2 linked regions of the Tamandua tetradactyla genome follow. The protein of the gene in region 2 interacts with the protein of the main gene of each other region in a biochemical or structural test. Links are inferred from orthologs where the notes say so. Each region holds a gene or a part of one and is shown on either strand. Other genes may lie near its edges.

Region 1 (11,624 bases), on a different chromosome or scaffold from region 2:
GCACTAAAAATAACATTTTTGTTCTGTTTACATTTTTAGAAGTAGGGTTATTTCTTTTAAATAAGATGCTTTGCCTTTAACAAGGCCCCTAACTGCTAAGTCTTGTAATTTACAGCAGGGAGCCAGCAGTTTATATTTTCAGGTACTTTACATGTCATGGAGGCAAAGGGTCTCTGGAAAAAACACTTTCACAATACAAGCGTAGACTGAATTTTTGCCCTTCTGCTTCCCACTTCCTCCTCCCATTAGAGGTGAGCTAGGGGCACAAGGCGAGAGGGCAGGAACGCAGGCAAAGAAGAGCAAAAGCTGTCCAGTCACAACAGGCAGCCACCACAGAGCCACCGGACATCGGGGAGGGCTCAAAGACTCATTTTCAAAAGCTCTCAAAATAACAGAAGAAAGTCTGGCGAAGGATAATGCACCTCCAAGCATATGGTATGGTATGGCGGTATGGTGATGCCAGTTCAGACCAAGAAAAGAATCAGCCTTAGAACAGTCATGCTTTCAAGTGCATAATAATAAGAACAGCTATAAGCAACCAAGTACCAGTTCAGGGCATGGGTTCTCAAGCCAGACTACGAGTTCAAATCCCAGATCTGACAATTATTAAATGGGTGATTAAGCTAAAATTCACTTAACTATTCTGTGCCTCAGTTTTCTCATCTGCAAAATGAAGACAGGGTTATTATGAGAATTAAAAAAGAAGAAAAAGAACAAGAAACACTTAAAACTGCGCCTGCCACACAATGAGTATACAAGTGCTACTTCCTGTGACTATACCTACAGTGTGCTTGGCGCTTTGTCTAAAGCAGTGTTTTCCAATAGAATTTTCGGTGATGACAAGAATCATCTATAATCTGCTGTCTGATAAGGCAGCACCAGCCACATGTGTATACTGGAAATGTGGCTGATGCAACTGAGGAGCTGAACTCTTCATTTTATTTCATTTTAATTAATTTTAATTTAAATAGCACCAGTTGCAAGTGGCTATTGTATGGGTTAGCACAGTACTAGACCTCCTCCCTCAATCTTCAGAACAACGTCTTGGGTAGTTATTATTACTCCCATTTTCAAGACGCAGAAAGGCTAAGTGTCTCACCTAAGGCCACAAAGCTACAATCCGGGATGCTCTGACCCAGAGCTGAAAATTTTCTTTTAGCATTTTTTATTGTGAAATATAGCACAGGCACAAAAAAGTGATAAATTTCAAAGTATATTTTAACAAGTAGTTATAGAACAAATCTCAAAGTATGGTATGGGTTATAGTTGTACAGTTTTAGGTTTTTCCTTCTAACTGCTCTAAGATACTGGAGACCAAAAGAAATATCAATATGATTCTGCAGTCATGGCATTTGTTAAAACCTATCTTCTCACTTCCAATTCCTCTATCTCCTCTGATCCTTCTCCCAATCTTTAAGGATATTTGGGCAATGACCATTCTAACTTCTTCATGTTGAAAAGGGGTGTTGTCATTATGAGTAAGGGGATGCAACTGGTGGATGCAGAGCAGAAAAGTATCACGATTTTTCCCCAAAGATAGGCTCCAAAGCCTATGCTTGTTCCACTGTCCCAAGCAATTTCCCTCAGTGGAAGGGAGGGGTTTTTAAGGAAGCTCCAGCAGGGCTTCCAGACTAGGGCACTGTTGAAACACTAGGCAGAGAAAACAACTTGGCAGCAGAGGAAAGGACTGGCTAGAAGGATACAGTAACAAGTTTAGAGACAGCCCTCCTAGCCACACCCTCATCTCCTCTTCAATCTCTGCCAGCTACTTGCCTAGCCGATCCATGGCCTTCTGAGTCTCTGTCTCCTTTGGCTGGGGGTGGTCAGGTATGGCAAATCCAATCTGCAGGAAGAAGAAACAATTACCTGGGGATCTGGATATCTGGAGCATGCCTTATAAAGCTGCTGTCTCAACTCCAAACCTATCCTTCTATCCTCCACTTTGTGAAATAGGGACTGGGACTCTGCAACTCACATTTTGACTTTGCCTGTCAGACTGGCAAGGCTGGAAAAAGGGACTTGCTCCTTCCTATCCCTGTAACATCACCCCAGCAATACTTCACCCCCAGCAGCAGGAGTTCCTATAGCAGTAGCTGAATTCATTTAGTTTTCCAACACTCCCAGAACCAGCCTCATGGAGGCCAGGGGCGGGAGTTGGGGGAGGACCCTCTTTAGAAGATGGGATCCCAGAACCTCAAGGCCTCCCCTCCAGCTCAGGAATCCCAAGACCAGCTGGGGCACTGCCCCCTTCTTGGAGATCAGAATTTTCGTTCTGCAGGGTCTCTCCACTATGCTGTTAAGCTTTAATAATCCCACCCCCATGCCTTTGTTCCCTCAGCCCTAGGGCTGGTAGCTGGTTTCTGCAGTTGCCACCTATGTGTTCACTTTTTCCTCTTTCAGTTAATTGGTTAACTTTATAACTAGTTAACAAGTCTTTCTATCAAGTTTTCTTTTAAATAACTCGTATGATTTCTGTCTCCTGGCCAATACATGGCAGGGCAGGAGGGAGCTTTGGTTCCTCGGCAATACTAAACACCTAAGGGGATCCCTCTAACCTAACACAGAATTCTGTAAGAGGATCCCAATAGATGGATATCTTCCCCTAAAGCAAACCAGATGTATCTCTACTCCTACCAGTCAAAAGTTCCTGAAAGCAGATCAGCTCCAAAACCTCTTTCCAGATGAAACAAGAAATGTTCCCAGCCTGCCTGATTTCAATCCCAGCTCTGCCACTTGGAGTGTGACCCTGGTCACATCATTTTAACAACCGTGCCTGGGTTTCCTTCTCTGCAAACTGGGTCAATTGTTCCATCCTCACAGAGGGCTTACTATAACATTTATGAAAACACCTAGCATGTAGCAAGAATCCAACACTTGTTGAATTTAAATCTATTCTTCTTTTCTCCCACATCTAAACTGGACTTGGCACCTGCCCAAGACTTACTTCAGCATAAAAAAAATTACCACTGATGATCTAATCATGAAATTGAATAATCATCAATTGAATAAGCAACTTAATTATTCAATTCCACCTTATGTGGTCAGAGATAGCCCTTGGGCAGTGCTGCCACAGGTGGGGCCTCTCAGCCAGACCACTGCAATATGCAATAGCCTCCTAAACACCTCTTTCTTGTCCAGCCTTACAGTGTTCATGGCCACTCTGCTCTCAAACCTACAACAGCCCTCCATTGCCTGAGCAGAGAATCAGTCATGGCATTCAAGCCTCCTCCAAGCCGGATCCCCTTGAACCTGTTGCACATAATCCTCTCTTCCCTCTCCCTGACCAGAGCTCCAAGCCATCTGCTCCCACAGTTTCTCTTCTACATCCTTTGCAGGCACCACACGCTTACCCTGGAGAAGCAGCACACATCCCTTCCTATTCTCATCCTATTCTGCATTCCCAAGTAATCTTATTTGTAAGTCTATCACTACATTCTTCACATCCTACATTGGTCAAGCATTCCATTCATCCACCCAACTACTTAGGTGTCTTTTCACGTGCTAGGCACACTACACTGGACGCTGGGGAAACAGCTCTACACTGAGGGTTCCCACCCTTAAGATGCTTACCCTAACCAGGGATTATAGATCAGAAACAAGAGTAGGTGATGCCTCTAACAACGGCCTTTGAAAAAAGCAGGAGCTGTCTGGCGCGCAAATGAACACAAGTTTCTGGAAACCCTGCGTCAAACGAGGCCTTGTGGTTTCAGTTAGCATAAAAGGAGAGCGTGCATGTGGCATCATCTGGTTTAAGATGAGAAGCATCCCCACCAATGAACATATGTCGTTAAGGTAAATTTTCTTCCCTGGCCGCCCTCACCTGTCCCCTGCCCAAGCCCCAGCCCCCGTCGGTTTCCGCAGGGCTCGGTTATCGGTAGCATCTCCCATTTACCAAGTACGCACAGGCGTGAGGAGATAGCTTTCCCTCCCCTCCCGGCTTGCCCACCTACGTCCTCGGGAGTTCCAGCCACGCAATGGCGCGGCTCTACAGCCCCACGGCCCGGCCGTTTCCAGCTCGAGCACGCGCCCAAACGGCGCTCGGCATCAGCGGAGCGGCCGGAGGCGCTTCCCCAGCTCCGCGGCCCCTGCCCAGCCCGACCCGGCGAGCCCCACAACTTCCCGCCCCGGGTTGCAGATCGTGGCTGCCACCGGCCCCGGCGCGGCGCTCACCCCCGGGCTGGGGGACGCCTCCCGCGCGCTCGGCAGCGTCGGGCACCGAGGCGGCTCCGTGGCCCCCGGCTCCTGGGCCCGGGCGGCCTGAGGGTCCATGCTAGGAGACTCCGGCCCTGGACGCTCCTCGGCCACGTGATGCGCTGGCCTGGCTACCAGCCGGAGGAGACGCCGCAGAGGGGCCAATCAGCCGGGGGTGCTCCCGACCGAGAGGGGCGGGACACCGGGGTCACGAGGAAGTGGGGCGGAGCGGCTCAGGGGGGGCGGGGCGCTCCCGAGCAGGGAAAACCCCCTACCTACCGGTCCGAGAATCTGAAGCAAACTGGGGTATGATTTTTTGCTCATCAAGCAACCTTAATGCAGTCTTTTGGGACATTAAGTTAGAGCCTATTCCTTAATCTCCCTCAAAGAATGTGTTATTTATATACTAAATAAGGCATTTGAAAAAGTTTAGCTTAACAGTTGACATTATAACCAATGCTAGTTTCTTTTCTGTGTAGACTTTCCGATACGGAAACTGTGACCACTTAATGTGTCTCATTAGGTCGGATTGGCTCTAGGTCAGTGCTGTCCGATAGAACCTTCTGTAATGGTGGAAATAAATGTTCTGTTACCTATGCTGTTCAATATGGTAACCACTAGCCACATTGGCTATTGGGCAATTGAAATTTGGCCAGTGTAACCGAGAAACTAAATGTTAACTTTTTAAAAATTTTAATAAAGTAAAATTTGAATTGCCTGGATGGCTAAGGACTACTGTATTGCTCAGCTCTAGGTGAACTAGCGAGGATGCATTTTCATAACCTGCAATGGTAAGAACCAGATATAGCCTTGCCTAAAGGAGTGAAGTATTATGCTCTTTGCTTTCTTCTCCTATGGACAACAAGCATCTCTTTCCTGAAATAAAAACACTTGGTATGATTTAGAATGTTATTCTTCTCAGGGCTTAAAGGAGAGGGAAGAGGAAATTTTTTTATTTTAAAGCACGACAAACAAACAGTATGAAAACTCAAAAATGCACAAAAACAAACTAATATTCATAGGAATTTAATACATAATAAAGCTAGCATCACAAAACAGAGAGACACACGATTGACCCCATAAATGGTCCTGGAAAAACTACTTGGGGAAAAAACTGAGTTGTGCTCAGCATGAGAAATGACTTTCGAAACATCTTAAAAATAATAGGAATCGTCTTGCCTGCCATGCTGGGAAACCTGGATCCGATTCCCAGTGCCTGCCCATGTTAAAAAAAATAATAGGAATCATATAAAAGCCTCTGGACAGGTAAAATAAAAAAAATAATAAATTAGTAAGAAAAAAACAATTAAAAAAAAATGGTGAAAGCATGAAAAGACCAAAGAAACTTGGGGGAGGGGGAATGAACATTAACTTCATTAATATCAAAGAAAATTGATATTAATTTTCAGAGTAAAACAATGACATATCACTTTGCACCTATCAAAGTGGTAAAAAAAAAAAATTAAAAAACATAACACCCAGTACAGATAAGGACGTTGGCACTCTTATACATTGTTTGAGTGAGGAGCAAATTGGCAATACAAATCAATATTCTTTAAAATAAGTTGCTATCCTTTGATCTAATAATGCCACCATCATTGGAGAGTAATCTCCTAAGGAAATAACCAGGGATATAAACAAAGATTTACAGGACTCTTCATTAACAGCATCTATAAGAAAAAATTACAAATAACAAGTTCCAACCATAGAGGATTTTATAATAAGTAATGTCTCATTTATACAATGGAATGCCATAGTCCATGAAATATTTTTAAAGCTACTTGGTAACATGGGAAAATAACATTTTAGGGGAAGCACAAATATCACAATACACTGAATGCTTGACCCACTAATGTAAGATTTAGTTAAAAGGCATAAAATTCTAACATTTGCCTCCTCTGCTCCCATACTGCCTTCTCTACTCCACGCTATGTTACATGCCTCCACCTCTGAAGTACTCTACTACTCTAGTGTACTCCTTACCCCTTCCATTCTTTTTTTGCTGGGGCTCCCAAATTCAACAGTTGTTTGCTGATCAGTCCGAGAGAGAAAGGATACTTTTATATTGTCTTAACTCTCTTAAAGGATAATCTATTCCTTGCTGATCAGTCCGAGAGAGAAAGGATACTTTTATATTGTCTTAACTCTCTTAAAGGATAATCTATTCCTTGCTGATCAGTCCGAGAGAGAAAGGATACTTTTATATTGTCTTAACTCTCTTAAAGGATAATCTATTCCTCAATACCCAGCACCTCCATCTCTGCTGCTTCAATCAACTCTCTTAGGGACATCCAGCTCAGTTCTTCCATCCCAGAAAGCAACCTTCTTTCCTGCACATCATGAGCACTCAGATATTTCTTGAAGGAATAAATGAGTAGATGATCTGACACTATAAATCCAATTCTGATATAGGAAATCAAAATTACTGAGTTTGACTTCAAACAGTGGGATTACAAGATGCTTTTATTTTCTTCACACTGTCCTATTTCCTCCATATTTTCTACAAGTACATACCACATACTTTTAAAATAGAGAATAAACAGAACTGTACTTCCTCCTCCATTTTAACTGGCCCCTACATCTAGATTAGAGATATACATGATTAGGGAAATAAATGAAACTCAGTTATATGATTTCCATGTAGTTTGGAAAACATTTAGAACCTAAGGCAGGTTCTTCAATATGGTAACCACTAGCCACATGTGGCTACTGGGCAATTGAAATTTGGCCAATGTAACTGAGAAACTAAATGTTAACTTTTCAAAAATTTTAATAAAGTAAAATTTGAATTGCCATGATGGCTAAGGACTTGTATCTAGCAGCATAGCTCAGCTCTAGGTGAACTAGCGAGGATGCATTTTCATAACCTGCAATGGTAGGAACCAGATATAGCCTTGCCTAAAGGAGCGAAGTTATACGATTTCCATGTATTTTGGAAAACATTTAGAACCTAAGGCAGGTCCATCCCCAACAAGTAGTTTCTGCCACTACACAGAAGTTCTCTTTTTTAAAATTAAGGATTACCATATTAACAAAATTGAAGCATATCTCAAAATCAGACAGCCATCTTGTCAGCCATCTCTGAGCAAATTACAGACTGACTCATAATACAAATCTGTCCAGAGGGCTCACAACACTATTTAACAAAGCTGGCTGTGTTCTTCCTCTTTTCATAAATGGCCAGCCTGGTGCATTGCATGTTTAGCTACAAACGCTTCTGTTAACTCTCCCTGCAACATCTTCATGGCTCGCCAATAGATCTGTCCACAATTCTCAGGTCTACCAAGGGGGTGGTTCAATTCTTCTTTGATGTAATCCATCCAAAGATCTTTAAAAGGCACATACCAAAAACAAAAGTGTAAATATACAATTAGATAACAGGCATGGCTTTGTTAGTTAATTTAATTATTTAATATCAATTCAACCCAAGATTTCTAAGAAACTTCTTGCTATTATCTCCCAAAGACCCTATATGGAACAATACCTCTCTCACTTGTACTCTTTACAGTAAGGTATATCAAAAAAAATCTTTTAGAAATAGAAAAACTTTTACTTCAATCATGAACATCTGTATTACTTTGTGAAATAAAAAATATTAAACATTTTAGAGAGATTCTGCTGAGTCTCTTTCAAGGTGAATCTGACCTCAATCAATCTCACTGTAACCTTGCCAGCATACCCAATAAAACTTGCTCAGGATAGCAAAAACGCAGCTTTCATTCACTTCTCCAGGAAAAGGTGTGCTGAAACTATACAGGAGTTAATTGTTAAAATGTGAGTTCAGTAACAATACATGTCACTGTTTTTTAATTCATAAAGCCTTTATATGAAGTATCTATACTCAGAGGCCTGTTTAACAAGTTCTACAAATGAGGGTAATGTGGTGACAACCAGTGACAACTAATGCCAATCTGCATACCACAGTTACCTTTTCGGCTATAATTCACACATTATTAGCCTTTCCCTTACAAATATCATATTCTTTTAGTGAGCCAAACCAAGCATATCTTTCTCTAATCCAGAGTTCTTAATAGAAGACCATCAGAACCTCAGGCTTGTGAACTCACTAGAATTATGAGCAAAATTATGCATACAAGTATTTATACACAAAGTGAGGGAAGAGGCAGGAAAAGGATATATAATTTTATTCTCAGTGAATAAAATATGGCCCAGAAAAGGTTAATAAACATTTTTCTCATGATACCAATAGGTCACAGACAGCACATGCAAAGAGACTCACATCTTTGACTGAAGTTTACTTACCAGAATCTACAGATCCAAACTCTCTCAAAGCCCTCTCATAATATTCTCTTAAATTCACCATCTTGCAGGATTCCTAAAAAAATAAATCAGATGATATTGCCTCTAAAGCCTAATTTATAATGACTCAAATCTGTTTCCACAACATTGTTAAGTACCTGCCACATGTTAGGTACTTGAAAGAGGGGCAGGGGAAGGAGGTTTGGACGAATAAAGCCTGGCTCTCAACTTATCCTGAGAAAAGTAAAATGCAAACAACTAGTACTACTACTCGCCAGAACAAAGTAAATGCTAAGCAATTATAAAAACGCTTTGCATGGTGGCATGAAGAAAAGCATATTTAATCCTCAGTGGGGGAAGATGGGCAGCTTCACAGACAATAGGAAATTTGAGAGCCTTAAGGGATGAATAGGATTGAAATAAAGAAAAAAAGGGGGGGACAATTCTACTCCCAATGGCCAAGGATACTTTTGAGTATCTGGGCTCTGAAAGATACTACTTATTTCTACCTTAAAGCTTTTTTAAATCAGGCAAAGTATAAACGAATACTAGTTATTTGCTCTTCAGCAAGTTTGTTAAACCATCTAGCCTTGAAAGTTTCCTCACATGTAAAACAAGGATAATACCTCTTATAGCAACTATGAGGATTAAATTAAAATGCTGGTTAATTAAGCACTTAGTAGAATAGTTGGTACTAGTTTTACAATCAATAAATGTAATCTTCTACCTACTTCTGTTTAAATGCATTCCCTTTTGTTCCATTTTCAAAGCAGATTACCATCTTTAGTTTAAAAATCCTCTCGTACACTCGAATAACTATTTCTCATTCAAATGTCTCTTCACTGGGACTGAATTATTTTACAGAGACGGTTTACTCTTGTAGTTTGCACATTCCTGAACAACAGAACCACATTTTACTGAAGACTTACAATGTGCATGGCACTATGAAAAGTTCTTTCATCTAATATCTCATTTGGTCTATAACCCTCACACTCCTGAGACAAGATAATATCTCTTCCTCTTTAGGGTGCTATGGCTCAGAATTTAGTGATTTGCCCAAGGCACATAACTACTATGTTATGACTCCAAAGCCTGGCTATTATGCTATGCTATCTCCTCTACTGTAGGATATAACAACTAACTGGATCAAAAGACAAGAACAGTACTTGGCCCATATAATAAAGAGCAAAACAATAGAGATACAATAAAGATACATACAATATAGGGAGCTCTTTACTGAATAAAGAGAGTTCAACCTCACTAGGAATTTTACAAAATTCAAAAAATAAATAGACACCAAATAAAATGTGAAAATAAAGGGGAAAATACAAAACCAAATATTGGAAAAATTGTGAAGACATAAGTATACTGGTATACTAGCTTGGTATCATTCTTTTTCTTTTTTTTTTTTTTTTCACATGGGCAGGCTCCAGGAATTGAACCCGGGTTTCTGGCATGACAGGTGAGAACGCTGCCGCTGCTGTCGCACCACTTGATATCATTATAAATAAGTATATTTCTTTTGGAGGTGATAGAAAGTGAATGGGTATCCCTAGTTCCAGAAATTTAGCTCAAGAAAATAATTCAAAAGGAAAAAAAGAAAACAAAACTTTATGTAAAGAAAATGCTTGTAGCAGTCTGTTTTAAAATAAAAAAACTAACAACTTACACTTAATAGAATAATTTAGGAAACTACAGTTTAAGAATAATATAATAGAGGTACATGGGTAGTTTTACCATTAGCTGGTAGAATTATCATTAGCCATGCGGGAGATCAAGGTTCAATTCCTGGCCCATGCACTCAAAAAAAAAAAAAAATACAAACAACAACAACAAAACAAACCATTCAACAAATATAGCTGTAATAACGGGATATTCACATGGAAAAGAATGAAATGTGACCCCCATCGCACAGCACACACAAAAAAGAAATGAATAAAACTACAATGATTAAAAAATACAACCATGTATAAAAATAGTAACATGCTCACAAAATAACATTAAACAAAAAGAGAAAACCACCCCCCCACAAGGCACATAAGCCAGAAATTCAACAGTACAAAATTATGTCCACATATAAATAAAACTGAAGAACAAAACAAAAAGAAAAATAAGTGACTAATTGTGCTAATATGATAGGATTACTGATACATCTGGATTTTTGTCTTTTTTTTTTTTAACTGAGACTTTCCTGTATTTCTCACTCAGACCACAAGAAACAGTTACTCTTCCCAGTCAAGATGGCGGCTTAACAACATGCGCATTTTAGTTCATCCTCGAGAACTCTACAAAATAACCAGAAACAGTACAGAACAGCTCCTGGGGCCATGTCAGTGACCAGACACAGGGCATACCCCAGTCTGGACTAGCTGGACCAGGTGTGAGCAACCCCCAGCATCGTGAGTTTCCAAAGCTGCAGAGGCCAGCGCCCCTCCCCAACAGGCCACTTCCCAGAGGGGAAAGGAAAGGACTTTACCAGCAGAAGGGACTGGGCACAATCAAACGCCAATTGTGGAACTAATTAACAAATTTGGACTACTAAAAATAGGCCCCAGCTTAGGTGAACCTGATCAAAGCAGAGGTTGCTCATTTTTGCCCCGGCGCAAAGGGGGCAGGACTGACAGAAAAGGGGGAATAAAAACAGAAGGAAACAGAGGTTTTTGTGGCTGTGTATCTACAAAGGCTTGACTGTCTCTGGATACAGCGGCAGGACTTTTCAGGCTGCAACTGCCCCAGGCATAGGCAGAAGTGAGCTCTTTTGGGGACTTATCTGGAGCTTGTGCCTTCCCCAGGGGAGGGGTGAAGCCCAACTCAGGTGGAATCCCTCCATCAAGGAATTCAGACCCCAGGGCTTGGTAATTTGAACCCATTAAAACCAGCCTACAACCTCTCCTCTGTCTCCATCATGCCCCCAGCAGGGAGAGTCTGCCAAAGTTAAAGGCCCCGCATCATCCTATGCTGGTGGGACCTGCAGTCAGACAAGCGCCACACACAGGGCAGGATAAGAAAAACAAAGTACAGAGACTTCACAGGAAAGTCTTTCAACCTGCTGGGTCTCACTCTCAGGGAAAACCGATGCAGGTGACTCTTTCCTCCTAATAGGAGGCCAGTTTGGTCTGGGAAAATCTGTCTGGGGTCTGTAATATCTAAGTAGTCCCTCCTAAGTGTGTGTG
Region 2 (11,957 bases):
ACTGGATTTTAGTATCCTTCTCTTCTTCTGATACCCGGTCCAGCAGACATTTATAGATGGCCTGGGGAGGAAAGAGAAGTGACCTCAGCAGGTATGGACTCCTGGGTATAATCCCATCCTCACCAAGGCCACCATAATCCTATGTTTGCCCCAACCTGGGACCCACACTGTACCTGCTGGTACTGAGAGTATTTGATGGGGTCTTTTTCAAAAACTTCATATGTCTGAGATTCCAGATTGTCCATCAGTGGCTGATATATGAGAGGCAAAAGGCAAAGTAAGTCAGCCAATTTCTGGCAGGGACAATACAACAGAACACCAAAAACCTTTCCACTGCCTCCTAAGTTCTGGTAGGGATTCTGTGTACCTACTCTCAAGAGGTATTTTTCCTCTCCCTCTTCTCAGTGTACTCCAGACTCACCTGGAGCGGGGACTGCAAATAGTCTTCATAACCCTTGGCAAAGAGCTCATAGGCATTGGGTGGAGGACGGTTCTGGCTCAGGTATTCCAAGTACTGAAGATAGGAGCAAAACTCCTTCTCTGAGTGGTGGTTGGTGCCCGTGATGATGAACTGTACCTCCAGCTATGAGAGAAATCGGACTATCAGACATAGCCCTCAAACCAAGATTCTGAGGTACCATTATTTATTATGAGGCTTCAATGAACATATAAAGCCCTCTTATGCCACATACACATCATCCTGGCTTATGGAGCCCCACAGACCCTTGCTGTAACTTCTTAAGTGAAAGTTTGGGTAAATTCTCACCACTTCAATAGGCTGAGCCCTCGATCTTGGCGTTTGACCCTATGAAAACTTATTCCTGCGAAGGAGAAGCTAAGCCTACTTATAATTATGCCTAAGACTCACCCTCAGTGAACCTTTTTTGTTGCTCAGATGTGGCCTCTCTCTCTAAGCCAACTTAGCAGGTGAACTCACTGCCCTCCCCCCAACATGAGATGTGACTCCCAGGGCTGTAAATCTCCCTGGCAACGTGGAACAGGACTCCTGGGATGAGCCGGGACCCAACATCATGGGATTGAGAAAGCCTTCTTGACCAAAAGGGGGAAGAGAGAAATGAGACAAAGTTTCAGTGACTAAGAGATTTCAAATAAAGTCATGAGGTTATCCTAGAGATTATTCTTAATCATTACATAAATATCTCTTTTTTAGTTTATGGTGCATTGGAGTGGCTGGAGGGAAGTACCCGCAACTGCTGAACTGTGTTCCCAGTAGCCTCGATTATTGAAGACTGTGTAACTATACAGCTTTTACAGTGTAACTGTGTGCCCATTTGAATCTGTGGTAGACCCCAGAAAAGCCATGTCCTTAAATCCTCATTCATCAGTGCTAGCTAGGAGCTTTTTGATAATTCTCACCAAGCTATGACCCACCCAATTGTAGGTGGGAACTTTTGATTAGATGGCTTCCATGGAGTTCTGACTCTACCCATTCCAGGTGGGTCTTGATTAGCTTACTGGAATCCTTTAAAAGAGGAAACATTTTGGAGAGAACACAGAACACACACAGCCAGAGAACTTTGGAGATGAAGAAGAAAACGCTTCTGAGGTAGCTTCATAAAACAAGAAGCCTGGAGAGAAAGCTAGCAGACACCGCCATGCTCACCATTTGCCTTTCCAGTCGAGAGAGAAACCCTGAACATCACTGGCCTTCTTGAATAAAGGTAACCTCTTGTTGGTGCCTTAATTTGGACATTTCAATAGACTTGCTTTAATTGGGACATTGTCACAGCCTAGAACTGTAAACTTGCAAATTAATAAATTCCCCCCTTTAAAAGCTGTTCTGTTTCTGGTATATCATATTCTGCACCTAGGAAACTAGAAGAGACTGTGTGATTGTGAAAAGCTTGTGTCTAATACTCCTTTTATCCAGGGTATGGGCAGATGAGAAAAAAATAAGGAAAAATAAACAAATAATAGGAAGGAGGATAAGGGGTAGAAAAAAAAATTGGGTAGATTAAAATACTAGTGTCAATGAGAAGGAGAGGTAAGAGATATGAGATGTATGAGTTTTTCCTTTTTATTTCTATTTCTGGAGTGATACAAATGTTCTAAAAATGATCAGGGTGATGAATACATAATTATGTGATGATATCATGAGCCACTGATTGTATACTGTGGATGAACTGTATGTGTGTAAAGATTTCTCAAAAATATTAAATGACAAAATAAAAATAATTAAATTCTCATGGGATCTGGTTCCAGTTTTCTGGGCCTCAAATGCTATTTGTCGTGTGGTTCTCAAGACTCTAACTTTGCCAAAATTGCTCTCTAGAAACCAGAGAGGAAGACTGAGTTCCACAAGAAAGGATCCCAAGAGGACCAGCTGGACCACCTTTAGAACTCTTCTACCACCTACCTTGAGAAGTCGGAAAATCAGCCTCTGGTGCATTTTAGAAAGAACAGGAAATCCCTTCTTATTAGTCAGGAAAATGCTGGTGGGGAGAATGGCTGCTTTGATGGGCTCCCCAAGCCAACGATCAATGACATGATTAGATGGGAGATCAGCCCCAATTTCAAGAGCTAGATGAGGGAAGAGAAAGACCTGTCAACTATTGCCAGAAAGAAGCCCTTCCTTGCTTCTTTGTGCAAGGCCTGCTTACTCTTCTTAAGAACAGGGCAGACTGAGGTACGGGAAAAGTAGCAAAATTGCCCAGTAGCCAAGTATACATGAAATTTTAACTACTGATTCTCAGAGGAGATCAAGAAGGGATACCTAGACAAGAACTCTCATGAACTTACCCACTGCGATCCTCTTACTATAGTCACACAAAGTCCGGAAGTTGTGCCACCTGCCCAGAATCAAATCAGAAAAATACAGTCACATTCACACGGCCACCAGTCACCACATCTCAAGAAAATCTCACTACAAGTTCCACCCTGTACTTCCTCTTACCCTTTACCCTTGCATATAGCAGCACAAAAGGGAGACATACCACATCCACGTTTTCTCTTCCCCACTGTACTCTTCTGTGTGTGCAGTTGGTACATTCTCAATTATATCATCCCGCAGATCCTCTGGGGCCACCAACGGTACCCGCATCCAAAACTGCACAAGAACAAGTATGCTATTTAGAATTCTATTTTGAACTTATTGGGTCCAGAAAACTTCTCCAATTAAAAAGATCTTGATCCAGATCTCAACTTAATCCCTTTATGTACTTTTCCCAATTTGTAACTATGTACATATTATGGGTATCATATCTATGTCCTTATATAAACCCCTGCCTTGTCATTTAATTCAACTCTTAAATTTCAGGAAATAAATAACTGACATATTCTATACACTTTGTAACTTTCTGCATACTAATTTTAGATGGGGGGTGGACAGTGCTGATACTTCAATTCTGCAAAATGCACCCTACACTGAATGGCTAGGCATGAGAAGACACTTAGCACAGCCTGACTATTATAATATGCAGCAGGAAAGGAGCCCCTTGCTCATACCATGGAGGAGTGGTGACCAGTGTGGATGTGGTTGGTCAAAACTCTGGCCAGGTTCGTGTTATCCTCCTGATTGAGGGGCAACAGGAAAGCTGGAAGACCCAGATATGCCCCAAAATTCAGCTCCTGTAACATGGCCTGAAATAGAGATCAAGAGGAAAAGGTTAAGAGCTCACACCACAAATATGTTTAATACCATTATATAAGATACTTGATTCACCAAACTATAGGAGGAAAAAACCCAGGTTGGTTACAGACATAATCTTCAAATGAAAAAAGATTCAGTGGAAAGGTGACAGACAATCTTACCGCCTCTGAGTTCCTGCGGATTTTCTCCACTTTTGAGTCTGGACGAATCCATGGAGAAAGCTTTCCCACAATTAGTGTATTCCAGTCTGCACAGCCCCAAGAAAGACAAAGAATAAATGAAGTTCAGCACTTTACTCTAAATTTCTAGTTCTTAGCAGGGAATAAAGTAGAGGTGAAAGACAAGGACTTTTTCTATCACAGATATGGGATACTCTAATCCAAAATAGAGAACTAAGGCTTTTAACAAGCAAAGATGGAGAAGGCAAGAGTATCTTTATCCCAGGGGACTAACCAATATTTCCAAGTTAGAAATGGAGAATGAGAGCTCTGATAAAGCATAAGTTGTTACTGCCTATGATAATTAAGGGACACGGGATGGTCCCTACCCCTTCCCGACAGCAGTAGGTCAGATCTTGTCTGGGGGCCAGGCCGATTCTTAGCAGGTTCCTGAGTGAACTCCCTCTTGAAACGCGGGTGGAAGACAGGCATGCAGAGGAAATCAAACCTATAACCGCGACAGACCCAGAGTCATTATGTAAAGCAACTGTGCCCAGAAGTCCAAGCAACTGGATTTATAGTATCTCCACTTGTACAGGCCTTTTTAAGCTACCATCAGTCTATGACCCTGAGCTGCTGTCCATCTTTTGGAGCATATCACTTCCGCTACACTGTGCCTCAACTTCCCCAAAAAACACAGTCATGGCAAATATGAGTAGAGAAGAGAAGGAAATCCAAGCCAAGTACAATTCTTGCTACTTCGCTCTATAGGCCTTTCGGGACCTGCACACAGAATCTGTCCCAATACTGCTCGGACCTCCCTTCTCAGAATTAACCTTTTTTTCCTCCTTGCCAGGTAACAATTCCTCCCACTCCCACTCCCACAAAATAATCTCGACTTCTAGGGCCTTGAAGGATCGAATGCACTCCCCTTTTTGGGGTTCACCTAACAGCTCCCCCAACTTTTGGGCTCAGTGACCACACGAACGCCCTTCCCAATAAGTTTCCTTTCTCACGCTCCTAGGATCGAGGTCTCTCCCTCCAAGAAGTGATGGTTTTTCCCGCCCATATCCTATCCACTCCGACCGCGTCACTCCTGCCTCTCGAAAATGACTGCCCCTCTCCGTCCGCGAGTTTGGACCCCGCATTCCGCTTGCAGAGGTCAGGGCCCTCACCCCTGCTTGGCCACAGCCCCCAAAGTATCAGCTATTTCGGGGACGCAATTGAGGTCCCTCCCGCTGGACACGCGGCTCCCACCGGCACCTCCGACCGCCATCGCCGCCATCTTTCCCCTAGCGCTGTCCACGCCGGGATTCCTTGATAGTAGCAGCCAATCACAGAGCGGAGAAAAAGCCGCCAGAAGGCGGGACGAATTTGCTTAACCATCAGAGTCTCTCCCACCGCGCGAGCAGAGGCGGGCCGGCGAGAAGTGCCAATCCGCGGGCGGCACCATGATGTACGGCGTGGCTTTCCAAAATGCACCAATCGCAGGGTGTAGTTCGTGACGAACTTCGATTTCCCACAATGCTTCACGTATTTCCAGACTTCTGTTAATTGACTACACAGCCCATAAACCCCTGCAGTATAAGCTTGAAGTATCATCACTGGGACTACCAGGCTTGTCTTAGGGCCAGTGGCGCAATGGATAACGCGTCTGACTACGGATCAGAAGATTCCAGGTTCGACTCCTGGCTGGCTCGGTTGGACAAGGGCTACCTTATTACACGGTCTATTATTAATTATATAGAGCTTTTTATTTAGTTCTTTTTTAGATTTCGTTATCATCTCGTTTTTAGGTCTTAATTCTATTAGGTTGTGCAGCTCTCTTATGTCAGCCTTTTCCCGTTATCCTCTTCAGAGGTGGTGGTTGTGTCACTACCTAGATCTACATTCACAGTGAGAAAATATCATTAATGGCTGGGTCTCTTAAAATGGGCTCCGTTCCTTTAGTATGTTACATGTTTAAATTTACCGTGGTAACCACTAATTCTCCGTGATTCTATGTCTCAAACACAAAAGGTAGATAAGCACACCCATTCCCATAGACTGGAGAAAAGGAATTCCCGACGAGTGATTAGAGAGGACGGAAGTCACGGTGCTGCCTGGCAGGAGGCCCGACAGAAAGTCTGCATTTCCCCACGTCCACAGCAGCTAGAGGGACGGAAAAGAAGGAAAGGAACAAAGCCAGGAAAGCCATAAGGGGGGAGAAAGGCAATGGAGTCCAGAGATGTGAAGGACCTGGCAATAAGGAGAGAACACAGCACAGGAGGCCGTAAACAGGAGGCGTTGGCCGGCACGGGTGACCAGTTGGTAGGGGCCGTGAGAAAGAGAAATGAGACCCGAGGGTGAGACAAGAAATGAGGGGACCGACTCCAGAGAAAATCATTTTGAGGTTTGGACATGCTGCCTTGGGCGTCTAGGGGGCGCTGTGTGAAAACAGAGTTGCAAGAGATTTGGAAGTCACCAGAAAAGAGCTAGTGACCGCAGACAGGCGAGTGAATGACGTCACCGTGGCCCTGGGAAACACGCAAAGGGCGTGGATAGGATGAGCTCGCCTGTAATGTAAAGGATGAAAGTCCTAAAGCCAAAGGATTAAGGAAATGACCCATAGAGCCTAAAGAGATTGGAGGTACTGTTGTCCTCTCTTAGTCCTCATTTAATTCCTGCAGGTATTCTTGTTCTTATTCTACTTTATTTTTAGAACAGTTTTAGTTTTGCAGAAAAATTAAGCATATAGCACAGAGTTCCCAGATAGCTTCTACACACGCACAACACACAACTTCCTCTATTCCTCTTTTATTAACATCTTAATAATGTATATTTGTTACAATTAATTAACCAATATTAATACATTGCTATTACCTAAAATCCAAAGTCATTTCGAATTTCCTTAGGTTTTACCTAATGTTCTTTTTGTTTCAGGATCCCATCTAGGATCCCACATAACATTTAGTGGTCATGTCTCCTTGGACTCCTCTTGGCTGTGACAGTTTCTCAGGCTTCCCTTGTTGTTGATGACCTTGATAGTTCTGTGGCATACTGGTAGGGTGTCATGTAGGTTGGCCCCCTGTTGGAATTTGTCTGATGTTTTTCTCATGATTAGACCGAGAATACAGGATTTGGAGAGGAATATCACAAAGGTAAAGTGCCATTTTCCTTATCAAGGATACATTCTATCAACATGATTTATGCCTGTTGATGTTAACCTTGGAATGGGTTTCTCCAATGTGAAGTTGTTCTCCCCCCGACCCCCCACCCCCCATATTGTACTCATTGGAAGAAAGTTATGTCAGCCTAAAATTAAGGAGTGGGTATCTGTGCTCCCTTCCTTAGGGTGGAGTATCTGCCTAGTTTATTTGGAATTCTTCCCTGAAGTTCTTTGCAGTAGGTTCTTGTCCATGAGAAGTGGGTGAGAGCTCCACAGACATTTTAAGAGGTAAAAAAGGGTTGTTTCAGAAGCCTGCTCATTCTCTGCCCCAACTATGCCCAACCAAACTCCACATCCGCAGAAGACTTATTAGATGTTTCTTCTTCAGAAGCTCATTATCTGGGTTGTGAACCATCTGTGCTCCTGGCATGTCACTCCTAATGCAAGCTGGCGGCTGCTCTGTTGGTTGTTAACTAACCTATCCATGGGTTAGAAGGAAATCTATGAGACAGAAATGTCACTTTTGCCATCAGTTAAAATAATTTTCAAAAGGATTCATGTAAAAAGAGCCTAGAGTTTTGGGTTGATCTTAAAGTGAGTTTAGATGGGCTGAATTTCATTTATCTGTATTGTCTTTGTTTTTTCATTCAGAATAGGCTTCAGATGTGTGGCAAGTATGATGCTGAACAGTTCCCCATAATTCCATACCAGATTGCTCTCTGCCTTTCCTACAGCACTTGTCTGTGCCATTAAATAAAAGAAGAACCCAGCATATAACTGTGGGCCCACCTCTCTGAACAGGGGAGGAGCAAAAGGGAAAGACTGAAAAAGAATAGAAAACCTTGTACTGAACTTGGCCCCAGGCAAAAAAGTAAAGTTAGTGAAACCTATCTTATCCTCTGCTTCTCTATGTTTGGCCCTACAAACTGACCTCTTGAATTCTGAAGTTTGTGAACCACTGTTCTTACTGTGGGATGCAGGCCTCTCCTGGGATGGAGGTAGGGAGAGTGGAACAGAAGGGCAAAACAGCATTCCCCACTGTCAGGCCCTGATCCCTGATCCTGTTTTTTTCCCTTTTTGCCAGCACTCCTTTCATCTTCTCTTGTGCATCCCCCCCCCCCCCCCCCCCCCCCCCCCGCTTCCCGCAGCACCTGCCTCCCTCCCCAGGTCCACCCTCACTCACCTCTGTGCCTGCCCAGCCAGCTGCACTCTTCATCACCAGAATAATGGCTCTTTGACCCTCTGACTGCTCCAAATTGCTTCTTGGCAATCAACACTGTCCTCCAGCTAGAAAAGTGTCAGATTTACTGAGGCAAAATAATCTGTGCCCATTTGCATTCTCTTCCTTGTCATCTCTATTATACAGTGTTTATCTGTCAAAATGAATAGAAAGTAGAAACTGTTCTGGAACATAGAAAAAAATAGAAAACTGTCCAATTTATTATGAAGCTAGAATAAGCCTAATATCAAAACCTGTCAGAAATAGCACCAAAAACGCACATGTACACACAAAAAAACTATTGAAAATTTTCACTTATGAATATAAATGTAAAAAAATCCTAAAATATTTGAGTAAAAAAATTCTATATTATACCGACCTAGTAATTATACCACAATTAACCCTACAAGGAATTAACACAAAATTACGTATTAGGAAATCCATTTATATGTAACAAACCAAAAAAGAAAAACATTGATCATTTTTAATAATTGCTGAAGAAAACATGGTAAATGTAAGTCAATTCCTATTTTCTCTAAACATTTTAATAATCTTAATTTTCTTATATATGAAGTCAACAATTTATATAAAGATGAAATAAAGTAGGAATATCTAGTCTCATCACTGAGTTACTTAATATTGTTCTGAAAAATCCAATGCAAAAAGACTAAAAATATAAAAAAGGGGTTATAATTTTTGGACAAGACGAGGCAAATTCATCATTGTTTGCAGAGGATATGATTGTAAACATAGAAAATCCATTAGAACCAAATTTTTTATACTTGTCTCTTTTTAAAATTAATTAATTAATTACTTAATTAAACATAACAACATACAAACACAAACACTCTTACCATATCATCATTCCATTCTTGATATATAATCAATAACTCACAATATCGTTACATAGTTGTATGTTCATCATCATGATCATTTCTTAGAACATTTGCATCAATTCAGAAAAAGAAATAAAAAGAAAACATAAAAAAATTCAAACATAACCATACCCTTTACCCCTCCCTTTCATTGATTACTAGCATTTCAATCTACTAAATTTATTTTAACATTTGTCCCCCTATTATTTATTTATTTTTGATCTATATGTTTTACTCGTCTGTTGATCAGGTAGATAAAAGGAGCGTCAGACACAAGGTTTTCACAATCACACAGTCACACTATGAAAGCTATGTCATTATACAGTCATCTTCAAGAAATATGGCCACTGGAACACAGCTCTACATTTTCAGGCAGTTCCCTCCAGCCTCTCCATTACACCTTCACTAAAAAGGTGATATCTATATAATGCATGAGAATAACTTCCAGGATTAGAACCAATTTTTAAGTGATGAGAATTAATAATAGAATTCAGAGAGGTCACTTATACAAGACAATATAAAATAAATCTGTAGCCTTCTTATATACTAACAGTAAGCAGTTAGAAGAGATAATTAGTAAATATATCAACATAAGGGGCCAGTTAAGAGCATGACCCATAGAGCCAAATAGTAAGAAGTCAAAGCCCTGTTTATCCATTTACTAACCATAGAACCTAAACCCTCTGGCCTCCATTTCCTCATCCGTAAAATGGGAATGTAAATAATACATCTTACCTCATAAAGCTGTAGTGAGTATTAATGTAGTATAGTATTTAGAACCTACCTTGCGCATAGTAAGTCTTCAATATACATTAGTTATTATGATTAGTATTTTCCCCATTCACAGGGGTTCCAATAACACTACCACAAAATACTTAGCATAAATTTTACTGAAAAATGTGAGGAATCTATCAAAGAAAACTTTAAAAATTTTACTGGGAGATAGAATATTTGGGGGAAAATGGTGAGACAAATAATGTTCTTAGATGGAAAAAAATAATCTTATAAAGATGTCAATTCTTACCACATTCATTTCTGACTTTTATAACATTCAATCACAAATCTAATAGAATCTTTTGTTACTTGATAAAGTAATTCCACCATTCGTTTGTAATAAAAGTCAGACAATAAAAAAAATCAGACAACAAAATGCAAAAAGTAGAAAAAAAAGAGGGAGACATTAGAGGGAACTGCTAAATTTTTTTAGCCTTTTACCTCAAGTGCCTTTTGAAACAAGCAATATATAAATAAAGAGCTACGGTGTGCACTTTGTACAAGAATAGAGAATCAAAGAGCCAAACCAATATCCCATAAATAGGCCAGTTGTGTGATTGTATAAATATATATATGTATGCACATATACAAGTATGAATTTAATTTGTGATAACTGCTAACGTTTATTGAGCCCTTATTTTGTGCCAGGCTCTATGAAAAGCACTTAATGTTGGATGATCTTGAATCTTCACAGGAGCCCAGTGAGGAAAGACGTTTATCTTTGTGTGGGTAAGGAACGTTTACAGTGGTTAAGTGACTTGCCCACCTAAGAAGGGTTTTGTTTTTTTTTAACATTTTTATTGACAAATCTTCACTCGCTGATTATACGCCATATATGTTGTACAATCAGTGACTCACAATATCATCACATAGTTGTGTATTCATCATCATGATCATTTTTTAGAACATTTGCATCACTCACTCCAGAAAAGGAAATAAAAAGAAAAAACTCATACATCCCATACCCCTTACCCCTCCCACTCATTGACCACTAGTATTTCCATCTACCCAATTTATTTTACCCCTTACTCCCCCTATTGTTTACTTATTTTTATCCATATTGCTTTATTCATCTGTCCTCACCATGGATAAAAGGGGCATTAGACTCAAGGTTTCTAAGAAGGTTTTTTTTTTTATTATTAAACATAGCATACAAACACAAACATTCTTACCATGTAATCATTCCATTCTTGATATAAGATCAATAACTCACAATATCATCACATAGTTGTATATTCATCATCATGATCATTTCTTAGAACATTTGCATCAATTCAGAAAAAGAAATAAAACAAAAACAGAAAAAAATTCATCCATACCATACCCCTTATCCCTCCCTCTCATTGATTCTAAGAAGGGTTTTAAATGGAGTACAAACCTAAGTCATCTGACACCAGAGCCTGTGCGCTTCACCTTAGGGCATATTATCTATAATTTTCCTTCTAGAAAGATTTCCTAGAAAAGCTGCAGAAACTAGAACAAATATTAATTAAGAGAAATGCTTAGTTTAGCATTCTTTATAATTACAAAAAGTGTAAAACAACAACTTGGATGTCCAATAGGGGAATGGTTAAATAAATCATGTTATAAAACCATAAGCAGCCATTAAAATCAATTGTTGTCAGAGAAAATTAGATAACATAGGAAATGCTCATGATGTGCCATTATGCGACAGAGATTGCAAATGGTGCATTCAGCATGCCCTCAACTATGTGGGAAAAATTAGTCTTCCAAATTTTCTATAACAAGCATGTTTATATTATATGGAAAACATTTTTAAAGTGTGTTTAGAACCCATGATCTTTCCCTGGTCTTTCTGTTGGTTAACATCCTTCTTTCCTTTGAAGGCCTATCTAAGACCCCCTCAGCTCTACAGGCTCCTTCCTGTAGCTGTCCACCCTCCAACAATCACTCTTGGTTCACAGCAACGACGTAATAGTCTCCTAGCCAGACCAATATTCATTGAGCTCCAATACATGCTAGGCACTTTAAATATATATTATCTCATTTAATCCTCAGGATCTAATCTTGAAAGTGGGAATTATCAATACCCATTTTGTAGGTGTGAAAACTGAGGTTAAGTGTCCTGACCAAAGTTATGGTTCACTCAAATGGAAGAGCCAGAATGAGACTACAGTTCTTCTATTTCCATGTCATTGCTTTTTCCTTTACA

The links.
Region 1: the proteins of PRMT5 (region 2) and COPRS form a complex in vitro, tested with the Homo sapiens proteins (3 studies listed by BioGRID, with this or other methods). The link is inferred for Tamandua tetradactyla from reciprocal best matches to the Homo sapiens genes PRMT5 and COPRS.

Annotation. Positions count from the first base shown.
Region 1 is NC_135332.1:50,614,313-50,625,936, forward strand, and holds the start of COPRS (coordinator of PRMT5 and differentiation stimulator), read right to left. Parts: upstream 4,383-11,624; 5' UTR 4,270-4,382; coding exon 4,171-4,269; intron 1,844-4,170; coding exon 1,774-1,843; intron 1-1,773. Other genes in the region: UTP6 (U3 small nucleolar RNA-associated protein 6 homolog), read right to left, coding at 7,362-7,519, 8,455-8,527. UniProt on the Homo sapiens protein: Histone-binding protein required for histone H4 methyltransferase activity of PRMT5.
Region 2 is NC_135340.1:31,976,057-31,988,013, reverse strand, and holds the start of PRMT5 (protein arginine N-methyltransferase 5), read right to left. Parts: upstream 5,110-11,957; 5' UTR 5,054-5,109; coding exon 4,944-5,053; intron 4,277-4,943; coding exon 4,158-4,276; intron 3,858-4,157; coding exon 3,772-3,857; intron 3,601-3,771; coding exon 3,466-3,600; intron 3,068-3,465; coding exon 2,955-3,067; intron 2,811-2,954; coding exon 2,761-2,810; intron 2,542-2,760; coding exon 2,378-2,541; intron 584-2,377; coding exon 422-583; intron 252-421; coding exon 174-251; intron 62-173; coding exon 3-61; intron 1-2. UniProt on the Homo sapiens protein: Arginine methyltransferase that can both catalyze the formation of omega-N monomethylarginine (MMA) and symmetrical dimethylarginine (sDMA), with a preference for the formation of MMA.